4 linked regions of the Cricetulus griseus genome follow. The protein of the gene in region 2 interacts with the protein of the main gene of each other region in a pairwise test. Links are inferred from orthologs where the notes say so. Each region holds a gene or a part of one and is shown on either strand. Other genes may lie near its edges. The genes, in order: Polr1c, Birc7, caspase-9-like and Phf1.

What was found.
Region 1: the proteins of Birc7 (region 2) and Polr1c interact in binary tests that used the Homo sapiens proteins (3 or more experiments, as listed by UniProt). The two-hybrid records come from large-scale screens. The link is inferred for Cricetulus griseus from reciprocal best matches to the Homo sapiens genes BIRC7 and POLR1C.
Region 3: the proteins of Birc7 (region 2) and caspase-9-like interact in binary tests that used the Homo sapiens proteins (3 or more experiments, as listed by UniProt). The two-hybrid records come from large-scale screens. The link is inferred for Cricetulus griseus from reciprocal best matches to the Homo sapiens genes BIRC7 and CASP9.
Region 4: the proteins of Birc7 (region 2) and Phf1 interact in binary tests that used the Homo sapiens proteins (3 or more experiments, as listed by UniProt). The two-hybrid records come from large-scale screens. The link is inferred for Cricetulus griseus from reciprocal best matches to the Homo sapiens genes BIRC7 and PHF1.

Annotation. Positions count from the first base shown.
Region 1 is NW_023276806.1:255,712,526-255,716,978, reverse strand, and holds the start of Polr1c (DNA-directed RNA polymerases I and III subunit RPAC1), read left to right. Parts: upstream 1-1,571; 5' UTR 1,572-1,663; coding exon 1,664-1,732; intron 1,733-1,847; coding exon 1,848-1,919; intron 1,920-4,132; coding exon 4,133-4,240; intron 4,241-4,324; coding exon 4,325-4,453. Other genes in the region: protein YIPF3, read right to left, coding at 283-389, 530-727, 1,283-1,363. UniProt on the Homo sapiens protein: DNA-dependent RNA polymerase catalyzes the transcription of DNA into RNA using the four ribonucleoside triphosphates as substrates.
Region 2 is NC_048599.1:974,990-979,433, forward strand, and holds the start of Birc7 (baculoviral IAP repeat-containing protein 7), read right to left. Parts: upstream 2,912-4,444; 5' UTR 2,847-2,911; coding exon 2,480-2,846; intron 1,193-2,479; coding exon 1,093-1,192; intron 727-1,092; coding exon 648-726; intron 567-647; coding exon 521-566; intron 1-520.
Region 3 is NC_048595.1:11,440,581-11,444,787, reverse strand, and holds the start of caspase-9-like, read left to right. Parts: upstream 1-1,256; coding exon 1,257-1,262; intron 1,263-4,207. UniProt on the Homo sapiens protein: Involved in the activation cascade of caspases responsible for apoptosis execution. Binding of caspase-9 to Apaf-1 leads to activation of the protease which then cleaves and activates effector caspases caspase-3 (CASP3) or caspase-7 (CASP7).
Region 4 is NW_023276806.1:232,130,780-232,135,141, reverse strand, and holds the start of Phf1 (PHD finger protein 1), read right to left. Parts: upstream 2,937-4,362; 5' UTR 2,778-2,936; intron 2,150-2,777; 5' UTR 2,134-2,149; coding exon 1,975-2,133; intron 1,891-1,974; coding exon 1,809-1,890; intron 1,726-1,808; coding exon 1,630-1,725; intron 995-1,629; coding exon 894-994; intron 805-893; coding exon 656-804; intron 508-655; coding exon 412-507; intron 278-411; coding exon 209-277; intron 84-208; coding exon 1-83. Other genes in the region: kinesin-like protein KIFC1, read right to left, coding at 4,129-4,173. UniProt on the Homo sapiens protein: Polycomb group (PcG) that specifically binds histone H3 trimethylated at 'Lys-36' (H3K36me3) and recruits the PRC2 complex. Involved in DNA damage response and is recruited at double-strand breaks (DSBs).

The sequences.
Region 1 (4,453 bases), on a different chromosome or scaffold from region 2:
AAGGATAAAGACAGCAGAGTCTGCTTTTGAGAAGCTCTTGGTCTCGGGAGAGACCGACCAGGAATAAAAATCTATGTAGCCACATGGTAGAAGCCAGCAGAGTTGTCTAGGAGTCCCAGCTGGGGAGGAATGAGGACACAGCAAGTGCTGTCCGAGCGCGGTGTCTGGTAAGATGGGCAGCATGCACACACTTTCACCACCAGAGCTCAGGGCTCAGTATCTGACTGCAGTCTGGATGAGGGACTAGATGTGAGGACAGACTCTTCTGAGAAGACTCCTCACCTGCTTCGGACCTGAGCAGGCTCCACATCAAAGTAGGGTCTCAGGATGTCGATGTTGGCATACAAGCTGAAGGCTCTGGAAGCTTGTCTCTTCCCTGCCTGCCACATCTGAAGGGAGATGGGTATTATGAAACTGGTGGCTCTAGACTGTTAACGTTACACAGCCTTTGCCAGATTTCTGTGTGGTTCTCCCTGGAAAACCTACGTCACCTTGGGACACACATGGGTCCACTTTCCCATCTGCTTACCTGATCAGCCACCTGTCGGCTCAGCTGTCCCTTAAAGCCTTTCATGCCCAGAAACTCGCCATCCTCCTCTTCTGCAGCAGCTGCGTCGGCATCCACTTCTTCCTCACGCAGGCGCTGATGCAGCTCCCCCATGTCCTCGAAGCTGGAGCCTGACGTGTCATCCATGTTCTCCATGTCAATCACGGCCGAGCCCCCGCCCTGTGAAGACAAAGGCTGCTAGAGAGCGGGGCCTTCTGTTGCACCCTTCTGCTCTCTGCTCATCGCACGGTTTGAGGCTTTGCTCTCCCACTGATGAGGACATTGGAATTGCTACCCATCGTGCCAAACTCCTCCTTGTCACTGCTGGCACAACTCTTGTCGCCACACTTTTGTGGTTCAGAAAACACACTACTCATCTTCAATTCACGTTGTTTTCCTACCTTCCCCCTCAAAGCTTCGAAGTGCTGCACCGGGGCCGACCTGCCGCCACCCACCTTCAAGCAAGCCTATGTGCACACAGGCCACCTTTAGGGGCTCCAGGGAATCAATCCTACCCTCTAGCCCTGCACCTGCCTGACCCAGACAGGCCGCCCAGCCACGGAGACCCGAGGCCCGCTGCAGCCTCGGCCTGGCCCTTCCTCCTCAGCACAAGCGCTACAGACCTGGGCGTGGGAGACTCAGCGGCCACCACTTGCAATGGAGCCGACTTCCAGGCCGCGAGAGGGGACGGCGGCCAGCCCGGGGGCTGCCGGCAGCCGGGACACCGCTCCATACCTGGATGTTTTCTTCGAAGCCTCCCCACTCCGGGCCAGCTCCGTTTCGGACGCCGCTGGCCGGCGCCGCGGGAGTCGCCATGTCCCTCGAGGCTTTCCGTCGCTGAAGCTCGCGGGCGTGGGACCAGCGTGAGACCCGGGCCGGAGAGAAGGAGGAAACGTCCAGGAAAGAGAGAGGGCGAGGTAGTATCAGCCGGAATGCAAACAGGAGAAACCCGGATGTTTGGCCCCAATTGACGTCCGGAAGTGAAGGACGTGGACGGGGCGGGGCAGGATATCGCGACATTTATAAGTTCAGGAGGCGGGGCGTTGCCAGGGAGACGGCAACGGGCCCCTAGTACGCCTGCGCGCACCGGAGGCGTCTCGAGGCGGGTGGTGGACGATGGCGGCGGCCCAGGCCGTGGAGGAGATGCGGACGCGCGTGGTTCTGGGAGAGTTCGGGGTTCGCAACGTGAGCTCGGAGCGGAACTCGGGAGGGTCGGGGGCGGGATGGGGGAGGAGGAGGGGAGGGGACCTGGCTTGCGGCTTGTCCTCACCGCCCCGCTGAACACATCTGTTGGCTCTAGGTCCACACCACCGACTTCCCCGGTAACTACTCGGGTTACGACGACGCCTGGGACCAGGACCGCTTCGAGAAGGTGGGTGCGCGGGAGGTGTCCCGGCGGCCCGGGGACCAGACGGCTCACGCTCGCCGCGTTCCAAAAACGTGTGCTGAGCCATCCATGTGCTGGGTGCTGGGTGGCCAGGCCGCCCGGGTGGGGTGAAGGCCCACGTGATCAAGGGATCCCGGTGAAACACAAGAGCGGCGAGCACGGCCGGGGTGCGGGAGAGGAATCCCGTAGGTGACTTAATCCGGTCCGTCGGAGAGACGGAGACTCGGGTCAGTGAAGGAAGACTGGCCAACAGTTAGGCCGTGCAGGCCTAATTGGAGCATTGTTGCAAACGCTTGTTTGCGCAGAGCCTGCTCCAGCAGTTCATTATCGCCAGATGTCAATACATTGGCCCGAGTGGTAGACAAGACCGGGGTCTATCTTTTTCTCTTTGAAAATTTATTTGTATTTTATGTACATTGGTGTTTTGTCCGAATCTATGTGAGGGTGTCGGATCCTGTTGTCAGTTACAGTGTTGAGTGCTGGAAATTTAAACTCGCGTCCCTGATTGGGGTGTTATCTTAAGCTCTGCAAGTTAATAGAGAGCTCTGTTGTTTTTTTTTTTTCGAGACAGGGTTTCTCTGGGTATCCCTGGCTGTCATGAAACTAGCCTTTCTGCCTCCTGAGCGCTGAGATTAATAGCATGAGCTACCTCGCCTGGCTTAAAGAGAATTTTTCAGTAGACTGATCTAATTTTGTAACCTTCATAGCTGGGAGGGAATGAATAAATTCCACTGGTAGTGGAAATGGAGCAAAAGGAGAACTAACAGCTATGTACCATATAGCTTTGGTGAGGGGTGTGTGTGTGTGTGTGTGAAAAAGGGCCTTGTGATGTGGGGAATTTAAGGAGTTTTTTTTTTGGGGGGGGGGTTATGTGTTTACCTGCATGTATATTTGTGCATTTGTGTGACTGGTGACCCAGGGAGGTCTAGTTAGGTCCCCAGAACTGGAGTTATGCATGGTTATGAACCACAGTGTGGGTGCTGGGAACCAAACCCAGTTCTTTTTCTTTTTTCTTTTTTTTTCTTCTGTTTTTCGAGACAGGGTTTCTCTGTGGCTTTGGAGGCTGTCCTGGAAGTAGCTCTTGTAGACCAGGCTGGTCTCGAACTCACAGAGATCCTCCTGCCTCTGCCTCCCGAGTGCTGGGATTAAAGGCGTGCGCCACCCAACGCCCGGCCAAACCCAGTTCTTCTGTAAGAGCAGTCAAATGCTCTTAACTGCTGAGCCATCTCGTCAGCTCCATTAGGGAAGTGTCTTGATGGCTGATTGTGTCAGTTGATAAACAGGAGAAAAAGAGTGATAATATGTTCAAATTCCTGTATGTGAAGTCTGTAGGTCAAGTGAATGATGCCTGAAGTGAGATCAAAATGAACCCAAGTTTGGGGAGTTGCTGAGTAGTTGCTTAAGCCAGGAGTGTGATTGAGGTCAGCCAAGAGATTTGAACCTGGGAGAAAGTAACATTTACAGGGTGAGAGGAAGAATTTAGAATATCAGATAAGAGAACTAAATTGGTGTTCAAAAGTCAAGGGAGTAGAATTTGAAAAAAGAGGGATTGAAAAATAAAAACAAATGCAGGACTAACTTGTCTAAGCAGTGTGGGACGTTCTGCTCTTCAGTGTAGCAGCTTCTGTGGGTTGTTTTTGTGGAGCCATATTGCCTAGGGTCTTTTTTGGGGAGAGGGCGGGGGTTGAGACAGGATGTAGCTTTGGAGCCTATCCTGGCACTCCATCTGTAGACAAGGCTGGCCTGGAACTCACAGAGATCTGCCTGTGTCCCCCTCCCCCCCACGCGCGCGCGCCCAGTGCTGGGATTAAAGGTGTGCACCACCAATGCCCGGCTTTGCTTAGGGTCTTAGTGATGTACACCTTTGATCCTAGTCCATAGAAGATAGGTAAGTATTCCTGTGAGTTCGAGGCCATTGTGGTTTACATAGATAGTTCCAGAAATGCTAGGGCAAGGTAGGGAGACCCCCCCTTATTTTTTAATTTAAAAAAGAAAGAAAACCAGCCAGGCTTCTTACAAAACTCAAGAACAGGGCTGAAGACAAAAGTCTAGTGATCATCTGGTCACAGGAAGGCTTTAGGATGAGAGAGGGTGGACATACATGGAGGGACATTGCCAGGGTGGGAGTAATCACAGAGGGAGGCTTGAATTACACAAGAGAAACAGGTGTTCCATCAGTTTTTTCTCTATCCCTCTAGAATTTCCGTGTGGATGTTGTTCATATGGATGAAAATACACTGGAGTTCGACATGGTGGGAATTGATGCTGCCATTGCTAATGCTTTCCGGAGAATTCTGTTAGCTGAGGTAAAAGAAGACGTGTGGGTCTCTTATTTCCAGGTAGGGAGATCAGTTGGTGTTGCAGTTGGATGATTCTGCTTTTTTGAACAGGTGCCAACAATGGCAGTGGAAAAGGTTCTGGTTTATAATAACACATCCATTGTCCAGGATGAGATCCTTGCTCACCGCCTGGGGCTCATCCCCATTCTTGCTGATCCACGTCTGTTTGAATATAGGAAC
Region 2 (4,444 bases):
CACCAGAGTGTCCCACAGACACCTGTGTGATTAAATGGGTTAGGGTTGTCATGTCACATCTCACAGCAATGAGGCTCTGGGAGAAAAGCTACTTGCCTGTGGCCACAAAGATGGCAAACAGATCAGGTGGTCCCTGAAGTTAGAAACCCCCTTGGGGTCCCTGAAGAACCTCAGACTCCTGTCCCATAGGGCCCAGGGAAGGGATTTGGAAAGCTGTGTCCTCTGTGGATCTGTTCAACAGGCTTCCGGTTATAGCCCATTTGGCTTTCAGAAGCTGTGGCCAGTGCCCAGCAGAACCAGGCCAAGATGCAGCTACCTCCTCAGGTTTGGCTGGTGTCTTTAGCAGCCTGCTCAGTGGAAACAAGGGGATGCTGTGTGGCCTGACCTGTGCCTTGGACACATAACACGTGTGCACAGTCCCGCCCGGCTGACTGGCAGGTGCGAATGCTCAGCAGTCTTACCCAGGTACAGGCTGCAAATGCCAATGAAATAGCAAGGGCTTTGTATCAGGCTATCTCACCTGTGGCGGTAGCAGGGACTGTATCTTCTGGCTCTTCCCATGGGTCCTGTTGGAAAACCATCAATGCCATAAGTAAACATAGCAGAGACTGCCAACCCACCTGAGTCCTGAGGACAGATGGACTTACCCAGGAGCCAAGCAAGGGGGTGCAAGCCTGGATTCTTTCCACAAAGTCCCTTCCTTTTGACTGTAGCAGGAACTGACACCTGGAGAAGAAATCTCAGGAGGCAGGACTGGACTCTTAGAACCCCACTGTCATATTCAAGCCCCGGAAGCCATGCCTTCTGTTCCCGTGCAACCCATTATGCCCTATGGCAGATAGTCATGGCTATATTCCCTAGGGAGACCTGGGAAAGCTATCAGGAGATGGGCTCTGAGCACTTAGAAAAGGATAGCAATGGGAGAATGACCATTGTAGCAGCCCCTCCAGAGAGAGCTCCATGAAGAGTGGGGTTGTCTGCTACCCTCGAGAGATCCTGATGTTCTGGGACTGTGGGAGATGGGAAGGCTGAACAGAATTCTTTAGGGCCCTTTTCACTGATGGGACCTGCATCAGTCCACCTGGTCCTTACCTGGGGAACCATCGGGCATGCTCTGTCCAAGGGTCATCCCCATGCTCCCAGCTCTGCAGACCCCCATAGCAGAAGAAACATCTCACCTTGTCCTGCTGGCCTGGGTATGGCAGAGACACATGGCTAGTAACTCCACCTAGCTGGCATCCCCAGAGTGTCCCTCCATGGCCATCAGAGCTTGGACAGGCAGGGCTGGGATCTACCAGCAGGTTGACAAGGAGGGAGCAAGGCACACATGGGCATCTCTCTTGTCTCAAAGACAAATGAAGACAATGCCTGGGTCATGTGTCAGGAGGGCCCTAGAGTATTCTGGAAAGCTGAGCTAGCATTTATGTTGCTCTCAGGGCATGGGGGTAGGGTAGGGCCAAAGGCTTAGAGCATCTGTAGCCTGGGAAATTCGGGGCATCCAAAAAGGACTCCTAGTGACAGGATAAGGAGGTGACCCCTCCCACACTGGTTTATAATTAGGCTTGGTTTTAGTGGTTCAGGCCTTCCTCATCTCTGCTCTCTGCCCCTCCTCCAACCATGGGGAGATGTGTCCTTCATGACCTTGTGCAGAAATTATAAACAGGACTTACAGGCATCTCCCACAGCAGGCACCCACAATCCACAAAATCCCCCTAACATATGTTGGCCCCAGGAACATTTCTTTTCAAGGAGGCTCTAACTGTCCCAGCCATTAACCCTTCCTGACCAGTGTCCAGTTGCCCTATATCAGTTTGGGCTCTTGCCTGACCAGTGCAAGGAAAATAAATAATTCCTCCCTTGCTAGCCTCATCGGAGATAGTTTCTCTGGCTATGCTCCTACTTACAAAGCCTCTCCGTGGGTCTCCCTGCCTCTTTTTCCTCAACCAGAAAGAGAAAAAGCTGGAACCTGACCCCTACCGTGAGTGAGGAGCAGCCCAAACTAAAGTTGTCTGTTTGTAACTAAAACAGCTACTCAAAGGATTTCCCTGCACTAGCCTGGTACATGGGAAGCCTGGAGGATTACCTACAGGGGTACAAATCAGGGGATGTTTAAGCTAACCACTGCATCCATAGGTACATGTTCCTCCATTTGTCCTGGAATGAAAGGGGATAATCACCTCTATAACCAAGCCTGCAAGGCTCCCAGATAGCAGTGGAGATCCCTGAAGTAGTATGGGGAATCCACAGAACCATCTAATTCAGGTGAAACCACCTGCTGAGTGGCCTTCTGGACAAGGCCACCACAAGCCCATGATCTCATAGTGGCTTTTGACTACATTAGATCCCAAGCCCTGGCCAGGCAGAAATAACAGGACTACCTTTCATCAGCTCCTCCCTCAGGGCAGGAATGGACAGAACTCTCAGCCTGGAAGAGTGCTAATTAGCCTCCAGACCACAGCAGAAAGACCCCAAGACTTACCTGTATGGAAGAAGCCAGCAGCAGCCAATGGTTCTGGCTGAATCCCAGCAGTGGATGGCCAGTCGAAGAAGGAAGCCAGGCGGAGATCCTCTGAATCCATCTCAGGGAAGGCGGGCTCCCCAAGGAAGGTAGCTCCAGTGGATTCTTCCTCTTCTGACAGGGGGCGCAACTGGCCCAAGATCTGCCCATCTAGGCAGTCCTGACCCGAGACATGGCTCCGTCTGCGGTGGGATCTGTACTGCTCCTGGGTGAGGCTGTTGCTATCTTCCCTGTGACTAAGTTCTGGGCTACAGAATAAGTCCCTGGCCCTACCCTCAGGCCCCATGGAGAGAACAGCAGCTCTGAGCAAGTCTTCAGGAGAGAACATCACCAAGCCTGGAATGTGCCTGGTGACTTACCTCCAGCTCCTGACTCTAGCAGCCCTTTCTAGAAGCTGTGGTGACCCCTGCTCCTAACTACAGGCAGACACCACTAGATGCTCAGATGTGGTAGTGTGTCCAGGGATGTGCCACTTTCTGAAAGAGGCCAGAGTGGTGGCCACGTGCTCTCTGCAGTGAATGTGTCATGGGGCCTCCTGGCAGGCGCCTAACAAAGGCGGTACTCCACTGTGCTGAAAGCATCTCTAAATAGGAGGAGGGGCAGAGCTTGGGGATCCCTCTAACAGCATCCTCTAAGCCTCTGGAAGCAAATCATAGGTACTGACAAAAAAATGGGGGGGGGGCGGAATCCAGCTATTCAGGGTTCAGTTCTGGGTAGAGATAGATAAATCCAGACAGGGGCCTGCAAGGTAGAAAGCTAGATTGTCCAGGACAGTATGCAACCCCAACCACATTCCTTCCATATCAAGCCTGTCCTGATGTTCAAGGATGATATCACCTGCTTATCCCTGTCCCTAGCATGTAGGCAATCCCTGTTTGGCTCAGCCCTGGGTCAGAGTCAGCCTGCCTATCCTAACTGGTCTCAGGCTGCCCTCTTTCTATCTGGACAGGCTAGAGTCAAATCAAGGGTGGGGCATGGTCTGGGAGGAGCTCAAGTTTTAGATTGTGTTTGCTCCAGGCCAGCACAGGTCTCTATCTGCACTGTTACAGGGGATACTGCCTCCCTAAGTGAGCTCTGCCTCAGGACTGGTTCCAGGCACCTGGTCTCCACTAACAAGCCCCAGGTGAGGGACTCCATTGTCACAGACCTAACAGAACAGAGAGGAGAGGCATAACCCCAGAGAGGCCATAGCTACAGGTTAGTAAAACAAAAGTCCTCAAGACTACTGGAAGGGGCAGAGAAGAAGACCAAGGAGCCAGCTCTGCCCAAGCTGGCACTGTACCCAGATAGCCGCACAAACTCCTCACCTGTAAGTAGCTCTTCACGCTGGTGAAACATTTAACATGGTGAGCACTCAGGAGTCAGAGGCAGGCAAATCTCTAAGCTGGAGGCCAGCCTCATCTACAGAATGAGTTCCAGGACATCCAGGGCTACACAGAGAAACACAGTTGGAAGGAAGGAAGGAAGGAAGGAAGGAAGGAAGGAAGGAAGGAAGGAAGGAAGGAGGAAGGAAGGAAGGAAGGAAGGAAGGCAGACTCCAGACAGTTCTTTTTGGTCATACTCACCCCTACTTCTCCCCCTACCTCCTTCCATGTCCATCCCTGTCTTTCCACTCCCATCCCAACTTCATCTCCTCTTTTTATTTATTTTTAAATGTTTACCCACTGAGTCCAGTTTGTGTTGTCCCTATATTCGTGGGTGTGGCAACATCCACTGAAACATGGCCAACCTACCAGGAGCCACCAACCGTGGCTTCTCCCAGAAGCTGTCAACTGTCAATAGTCCCTCAGTCAGGAGTAGATATTGAGCCACATGGCGAGGGGTTGGGACTTGAGAGATATTGTGAGGTGGGCATGGCGGCTCATGCATGCCATCCTAACACTCATGGGGCTAAAGCAGGAAGGTTGCTATGAATTTAAGGTCAAC
Region 3 (4,207 bases), on a different chromosome or scaffold from region 2:
TTTATTAGTCTTAGTTCTGACAAAGACTGGCCCTGCCCAGACCGTCCAGACACTCCTCACATAATGTAACAGGATGAGGCCCTACATCATCTGTTTGGCCCCGCAGACCCTCACTTCCCCCTGTGCCAGCCACCCAGACCCCTGTGCAGTTGTTTTCTGTGTATGCTGCCCCACTACTGTCCCCCACTACTGTCCCAGGGTCTTCGCATTTGCAGTCCGTTAGCATAACTTTCTCCATTTCCTACTGGTCTCTGCTTGATGCCACCTTCTCCATGAAGTGTCTATGACAACACCATCCAGAACAGTGCACGCATGCATATCCATGCTGTCCTGGCAAGTATTATGACAACTTGACACAAGCTAGATTCATCTGGGATGAGGGAACCTCAACCAAGTCAATGCTCCCACCAGATTGGCCTGTAAGCAAGCTTGGGGTGCACTTGATTGATTGATGGTTGATGGCTGATGTGGAAGGTCCCACCTCACTTGTGGGCAGTGCTGCCCCTGGGTCGGTGGTCGTGGGGGCTAGAAGGAAGCAAGGTATATGAGCAAGCTATGAGGCGCTCATCAAAGCATCATCCCTCCGTGGCTTCTGCCTCAGCCCTGCCTCCAGGTTCCTGTCCTCCTTCAGTCCCTGTACTGACTTCCTTCAATGATGGGCTGTGATGTGGAAGTACAGGCTGAAACCAACCCTTTCCTTCCCAGGTTGCTTTTGGTCACTGTGTATTTACCACAGCAACAAAAACCCTAAGACACATGCTCGCTCACTCAAGAATGTACACACCTGCACATAAGCACACACCTCCCCGACTGCATTGCTTTTTACCCAGTGGCGGCTTTGTTGCCCAGCAACTAGACTTTCAGGTAAATCCTGTGAATCTCACCCCTACATACTGTGTTCTAGGGGTCCGTGGGTAGGAGATAGGAGGTCTTTGATAAACAGCCCTCCAGCCCTCCAGCCCTCCAGCCCTCCTCATCAGACTCAACAGCCATAGATGAGAACTACTCAAGAACAAAACTTGTACCTGCACAAAACACATGTACTTTTTCCTTGTCATCATTCACTAAACAATATCACAGATGACGACTTAGATAGCAATGGCATTGTGGTTGGGGATCACCAGTAATCTAGAGATTAGTTGAAATAATAGGAAGGGCTGTGGATGACACAGCTTGTCTAGCATGCTTGCTCTAGGCTTGAGTCCTAGACCTGCATAAAAGATGGGGGAGGAAAGGATAGGGGAGTAATAGTGATGATGACGGTGACGCTGGCACGTGATGGATCCTTGTTTGTTCTTTGTCAGCTTGGTATAACCTAGAGCCATTTGGGAAGAGGGAACCTCAATTGAGAAATTGCTTCCGTTATATTTCCTGTAGAGTAGTTGGTGGGGATTTTTTTTTTTTTTAAATAAGATTAATGCTTAGAGCCCAGCCCTCCATGGCAGGTGCCACCCTGGTCAGTTGATCCTGGGTTGTGTGATAAAGAAGTAAGAGCAAGCTGGAAATAGCAAACCAGTAAGCAACACCCTGTGTTAAATCCATAGTACTCCCCCAAACTGGAAAATATTTACGATAGACACGTGAGGGATGGAGAGAGGGCTCAGTGAGCAAGGCTGACAACTTGAGTTTAATCCCCAGGACCACATGGACCCAATGGAAGGAGAGGAAAGACTTCTGGAAATTGTCCTCTGACATCCATGAGTCCCTACCCTGCAAATAAATGTAGTAAAAGAAACAAAACGAGGAGCCAGAGAGTAGGCTCAGCAGTTATTCCCACCCTTCACTTGGTGGCTCACAGCTGTCTGTAACTCCAGTTCCAGGAATGCCAAACATAAATGCACATAAAAAATAAAGTATAAATAAAAAATAAACAAAACATACAAAGCTACTCCAAAGGATTGTGCACCAAGCTAAAATACACAAAACCTCCTGTAGATAGAAACTTTTCCCCCATGGGCAGAAATGCCATGACTGAACCACTGATTTGGTTTTGAAGATTAACCAAGCACTTATATTGAGAAGTAAAGAAATAGCTCCCTGTAACATGGAAGGGACCAAAAATTCAACTAAAACAAGTTTTTGAGATGGTCTTATGTATCCCAAGGTTGTTCCAAGTTCTTTACATAACCAAAGATGATCCTGAGCTCATGCTTTTCCTGCCCTCACCTCCTGAGTGCTGGGATTACATTTATGAACCACCATGTCCAAAGTTTTATCATACTCAGGGCTTCCACCAGATGCCAACTTAGTAACATACTCAAGCCCTGCATCAAATTAGAATCTTGACTCCTCCCAAGCTCAACGGGGTGTGTTTGGGCTGTTATGGGACCATTCAGAGTCCCAGTTCTTTTATCGGGAAAATAAGGACCCCTTGGATAGGGCTCTGGTCATTGCTAGTATTTCCAACAGAACATTATTTAAACACTGTGACTATAGCCATGTGACACACATCTTTCTGATCTGGGCACATAAGCCATTTCCCATCACTCCTGTAACCCCATAGGGCACCATTCACTATTTATCATGCCCATTGTACTTGTGAGAGAACAAATGCCCCTGTGGGCAGCAATGCCAGCAGGACTGCTCTTTCTTATGTGACTTATGGAAGGAGCTTAACAATTCCACAAAAACAAACACTTAGTACTTAGGATGGGAATGTTGGCACATTCCCTTAATCCTAGCACTCTCGTGGATCTCTGAGTTTGAGGCCAGTTTGGTCTAAATTGTGAGTTCTAAGACAGCCAGAGCCACAATGAGACCCTGTCTGAAGAAATGAATAATTAAATAAATAAGTAACACATATAATGAATACTTACTGGTTGTTATTTTACATGTGTTTGTGTTTGCCTTCATGTATGTACATGTCTAGTGCCTGTGGAGGCCAGAAGAGGGCACTGGATGCCCTGGAACTGGAGTTCTAGATGGTTGTGAGCTGTCATGTGGGTGGTGGGAACTGAATTCGCTTTCTCTGAAGAACAGCAAGTCTCCTCACTGTTGAGCCTTCTCTCCAGCTCTCCAGGAAAGCTATTTTAAAACGGACATGCTTCTGACATTTGAAAAATGTGCAATAAACTGGGCAGTGGTGGTGCTCGGGAGGCAGAGGCAGTTGGATCTCAGTTGAAGGCCAGCCTGGTCTATAGAGTGAGTTCTAGGACAGGCAGGTCTACACAGAGCTCTGTCCCACAAACAAACAAAGAATATACAGCACACCTATTTGGTGTTGTGTATGGTTCTCCAGTCCTACAGTTCTATGATTGTCTCGAAACAATCAACAGCAACAAAAGGTCTTTTCTACAGCCACCTTTTCAACTACCAAGTGTAGATTTTGCCAGGGAAGAAAGGTTTTTTAAAATATTCATCATAAAGGTCTCACATGTCCTATGAAAGATCTAGTAATTTCTACCTGGGCCAAATTTCAGTTTTGACAGCACTATGATTATATCAGTGTAAGGAAGCAGTTATTTTCATCCATAACAGTGTAATTAAGAATTAATCTGCATAAATAGCCCTGACTGGCCCCTTCAAGTGAAGAATATTTGCATAGGAGTGGTGACAGCCTCACAGGGGAAACTGATGTGGCAGTGGGCATGTAACTTTAGATCATCAGGTCTCTGGCAGCTCCTTTTTGATGGCTGGAGACATTTCCTTTCTCTCAGTCCCCAATAGTCCATGGCTGCAGGATTTTATTGTATTGGTGCGGCCCTCTTGTGTTCCCACCAAACCTCACCTTTGTCTGAATAATAGACTCACCAGTGTGGTTGACTCACCTGCCAGGGCCAGCTGTTGGGTGTGGCCTCTTCTCCCCCAACTACCCTGCTCACATGGTCCTCGACATCATAAGTGGGGAACCCGCAGCTGAGAGCTGGGAAAAGAGAGTATTGGGTCAGTGAGGATTTGCTTTTGTGGACATACCCAAACCCAACAGGAAACTCTTGCTTTGCAAAGATCTAGTAGGTCCGTGAGTCAGTCCTTCATTCCACTTCCTAGCCTGTCTTTGATTTTGTCAGGTAACTGAAGCTGGCCTTAAATTTGTGGTCCTCCTGTCTCAGCCTCACGAGTGTTGGTATTATCATTGTGCCCTGCTCCCTGCTTCCTATAACTGAGGGCCTGGAGACTGGGACATCTGCTCAAAGTAAGGGCAGGAATGTCTGGTCCCAGCTTCACCAGACAGAGGTTACCTCCAGCCACCAAGGCAGATAGCAGCAGG
Region 4 (4,362 bases), on a different chromosome or scaffold from region 2:
GGAGGATCTCTCGGTCAAAATCGAAGTATTTTTTCTTGCAGCAGACACTGAGGTGGTAGAGGACCAGGTGGGCCACATCCACCCTGGAGAGGCAGGAAGGCAGCAGCGCATATGAGAGTCAAACAGCGGGGAACAGGAAGGAAGGAAGGAAGGAAGGAAGGAAGGAAGGAAGGAAGGAAGGAAGGAAGGAAGGCACAATCCATCTCACCAGCGAAGCTGTAACCTCCGGACCTTCTCAGGGCCACCCCGGCACACACAGCATTCAAATTCATAGAATCTGGACATGAGGACAGAGAACGCACCTCGTTCAACTCTACAAGTGGTAGACAGCGAACGCTGGGAGGCCTGGGCGTGGGTGGAGCACAGCAGGCGGGCGCCCTGGGCTTCCTGGACAGCCTCCTTTGGGCTCACCTGTCTCCGTAGAGGAGGGGCTTGCTCAGACACTGGGTGCAGGCCTCGTGGAACCACTGGAGACAGCTCCGACACTGCAGCATTTTCAGGTTCCACCTCAGGGGAAGACAGCCTGCCTGAGACCACCCTGAACCCTCACCCACCTCCCATCACCTCGGGGCTCCCCTCAGCCTGCCCCTTCCCCTTTATTCCAGGCTCTACCACCACAGCGTCCACCCCAGAACTCAGCACCCCCACCACTCACTCCCCGGGGCCTCCACAGTAACAGTAGCTCTGCTGTCGGTTGCTCAAGTGCCCGGCGTCCCAGTCCAGCCCCTTTAGTCCATACGGCAGACAGAGCTTCATGCCCAGCATGGCCCGGGCATAGGGGCCCTTCTTCAGGGCGCCCCCCCTCTGCAGAGGAACAGGTGGAAACCTCAGAGAGGCAGGAGAGAAGGGGCCATGGGAGGCTCCCATAGGAAGTGGCAGAGAGGTGCCTTTACCTTGGTGGCAATCGCAAAGACACACTGGCGGCAGACCCAGGATGTGCCCTCTCCTTCTCCAGGGGCTGGGGCCCTGGGAACGTGACAGTCCTGGTGATAAGCTGAATAAGGACAATGTTGAGAGTCAAACACTGTGTGCGCACCTGCATTGGCTTGGTGCTCGTACACGGCAGCCTTCCCTTGTGCGTTTATATCCTGACCATGGTCCTACTGTGTGTGTGTGTGTGTGTGTGTGTGTGTGTGTGTGTGTGTGTGTGGTGTGTGTTTGGTGGGGGGGCTGGAGAGATGGCTCAGAGGTTAAGAGCACTGGCTGCTCTTCCAGAGGTCCTAAGTTCAATTCCCAGCAACCACATGGTGGCTCACAACCATCTGTAGTGACATCTGGTACCCTTTTCTGGCCTGAAGTTGTACATGCAGGCAGAACACTGTATAATAAATAAACAAATCTTTAAAAGACAGAGAGAGAGAGAGAGAGAGAGAGAGAGAGAGAGAGAGAGTGAGAGGTATGTAGCTACCCTCAACCTTAGAGAGAGAGAGAGATGTATGTAGCTACCCTCAACCTTGCATGGCTTATGTCATCTTCATCCTATGGCTCCCTCTCCCTGTACTGAGATGAGGTGACAGGGTGAAGACTGGCCAAGATAGGAGACACAAGACCCATGCTAGGAAGACAACTGGCAATCCAGAAGACCCAGGGCAAACTGTACCATTCAAGTATCCTGCCCTCTCCTCTCACCATGACGACACTTCTCACAGCTGACCAGCCGGTTCCCAGGGACCACCGTCTCAGAGCGACAGACACAGCAGAGGAGCTCCTCCCCAGGGAGGGCAGCTGTGAGGGACAAGGTGTCAGGTGGCTTACTTCAGCCAGTGTCCCCCACACCCTCCAGCTTCTGCAGTTATGAAGGGTCTCACCCGGGCTGATGTCCTTCCATAGAACCAGAAACTGGGAATCATCCTCAAACTGGACCAGACACACCTCCCGAGCACTGTCCACCTGGAGTGGGTGAGCAAAGATTATAAAGTGGGAGCAGGAATCAGAGGGAGAGGATCCATGGTGGGGCCCAGAGTTGGCTCTTACCTTTTTGATGGTGCCTAAATACAGCAGCCCATCGGTCCACCTAGCCAGCACGTCTTGACCCTCCCAAAGTCGAGGTCTAGGGCCTGAGGTGGGAGCAGGGGAAGCTGGATCCCAAAGAGAGGGTGCACCCAAGCGGCTCAGCCGGGGGAGCTGCGCCATTGCATCCTGGGAGGGGCTAATCAGATACGATGGAAGAGTTTATGAATGTTAAGAAGGCTTGGCTGCTCTGTCTGCTTTTACTGTCAAGGATAAGGGACCAAGCACCTCCAAGCTCAGTCACTGAATCCTTTAGACACCTAAGGAGGTGGGTCACCCTGGTCCCCAGCCTGGTTCTCTAGCATCCCAGCTCCCTGGGGCCTTAGGGGAAAAGATGCTTTCAGAGCCAAGGTTACCATTCATTCAGTTTCGCCTTTCCCAGCTGTTTAGAGGTATCCTAACTGGGACGCTCGGTTGCCCAGAGATATTTTGGGAGCTTTTCTGGAGATGTTTCCCTGAGTAGAGACATCCGCCTCCCCAGGCCTGTGTGTCTCATTTAGAACCGCTGTCCTGGTGCCAGGTTATGTTAGGTCACCCTCAAATTTGAGGCTGCTTGCCCTGGGATTAGATAACTTCCCCGAGTGCCCCAGGAGGGGGGCGTGTCCCTGTCCAGGTCTCCGCTACCCTACACCGCCGGTCTGAGGAGGGACTCGAGTCCCCCCAGCCCGGATCCTAAGCCGGTGCCAAGAGGCTCTCCTGCCCCCTGCTGAGCATCGACCCCCGGCCCCCTCCCTGCCCCCGCTCAGGGCCTCCCGCCTCCTTCTTACCGGTGACAGCTGGGTCAGCAGGGAGCCAGCTAGGGGCAGACCCCAGAGCCCTAGGGGCGCGAGCCCCGGCGCGGGCGGAGTGCGTGCGGACGCCGAGGGCGTGCAGGAGGAGGCCGGGGGTCCCGGGGCCCAGCCCCTCCGTCCTAGCGGCTCTGGGGCGTATGACGCAGCAGCCAAAGCAGCGGCGGCGGCGGCGGGAGGAGTCGGCCGCGGGAGGGCGGGAGGGAGGAGTAGTGGGTGGGGAGCACCAGAGGGAGGAGAAGCCGGAGGGGCGGACAGGCAGCACCTCCCTCACCCCCGGCAGGCCCCGAGGGCACCGCACGGCTGGGGGCGCGGCCGGCCGGGCAGGACGAGGGGACCCCTGCAGCCCCCTTTCCGGACGGGAGGCTCGCCCCGGGAGCGGCAGGAAATAACCCTGCTGGCAGCCAGCCTGCAGGTCAGGGCCCAGCCCCGCCCCATGCCACATCCGTTAGCTGCCCCGCCCCCGTGGCCACTCCAAGCCCCGCCTCCGCACGCGGCCCCGCCCTCCCCATTCACACTTCCTGTCGCCCCGCCCTTCTGCGCACGCGCGGCCCCGCCTGGGCGCTGCACCTGGGCAGACAGCCACACCTCCTGCCGCGGGAGCCCGGTGCGGCTGCGCTCCTCCCTCCCGGGCGGGCAGGCGAGCGAGCGGGCCAGGGCCGGCGAGCGGGCGAGCCAGGGCGGCAGGGCCAGCACCCAGCCGGTGACGTGCCCACAGCCAGCCAATGGGCAGCGGGCGGCAGGGAACCGTAGTTCCAAGCGGTGGGCAGGCAGAGGGAGGGGATGCGGATCGAGCGCGCTGGGACTCACACCAGGCCCGGTGTGGCAGCTATGGGTGCAACACCCGCGCTGAAGGACAGCCAAGTGAGAGCCCAACAGAGAAAAGCCCATAGCCTCACTGTGCAAAGCACACGTCAGAAGCCACACTTCTGCAAGCTTACGGTATTTGTTTACAACCTACCAGGACTAACAAGACCTTTATTTAAGAGCCGTAACAAGGGCTGCAGAGATGGCTCGTCGTTAAGAGCACTGACTGCTTTTGCAGAGAACCCACAGTCGCTCACAGCCATCCATCAGACCAGGTCCAGAGGACCTGAAGCCAGCCCTCTTCTGAACTCAAGAAGCACCAGGCATACACATGGCGCACATGTACACACACCCAGGCAAAACAACCATGCGTAAAGTCTACAACAAAATTTCTTTATTTGATAGTTGGGTACAAATGATGTCCACCCAATAAAAGCGTATCTCTCACCCCCCTCTCCCCCCCAGTACACACAGAGAGAGACACAATCAACCCAGCGGCAGCGGAACCAGGCTCTGGCCATCTTCACTTCTTATTAGCCTGAGCAGTACCGATAACACACTGGTTCACCTGTGGACCAAGAAGGTTATACAAGATCAGCGTTGGTCCATCTACCCCAGCTCCAATGCTGGGGCCGCCCTCCAAAATATTGAAATAAGGGCTGTTGAAAGTAGGCTCGGCCTGGTTCCCGCCCCTAAGCATAGTTGTCTTATATCCACTAGTAGGCCTGGAAGAGGTCAGAAGTCTAGAGATGAAGCC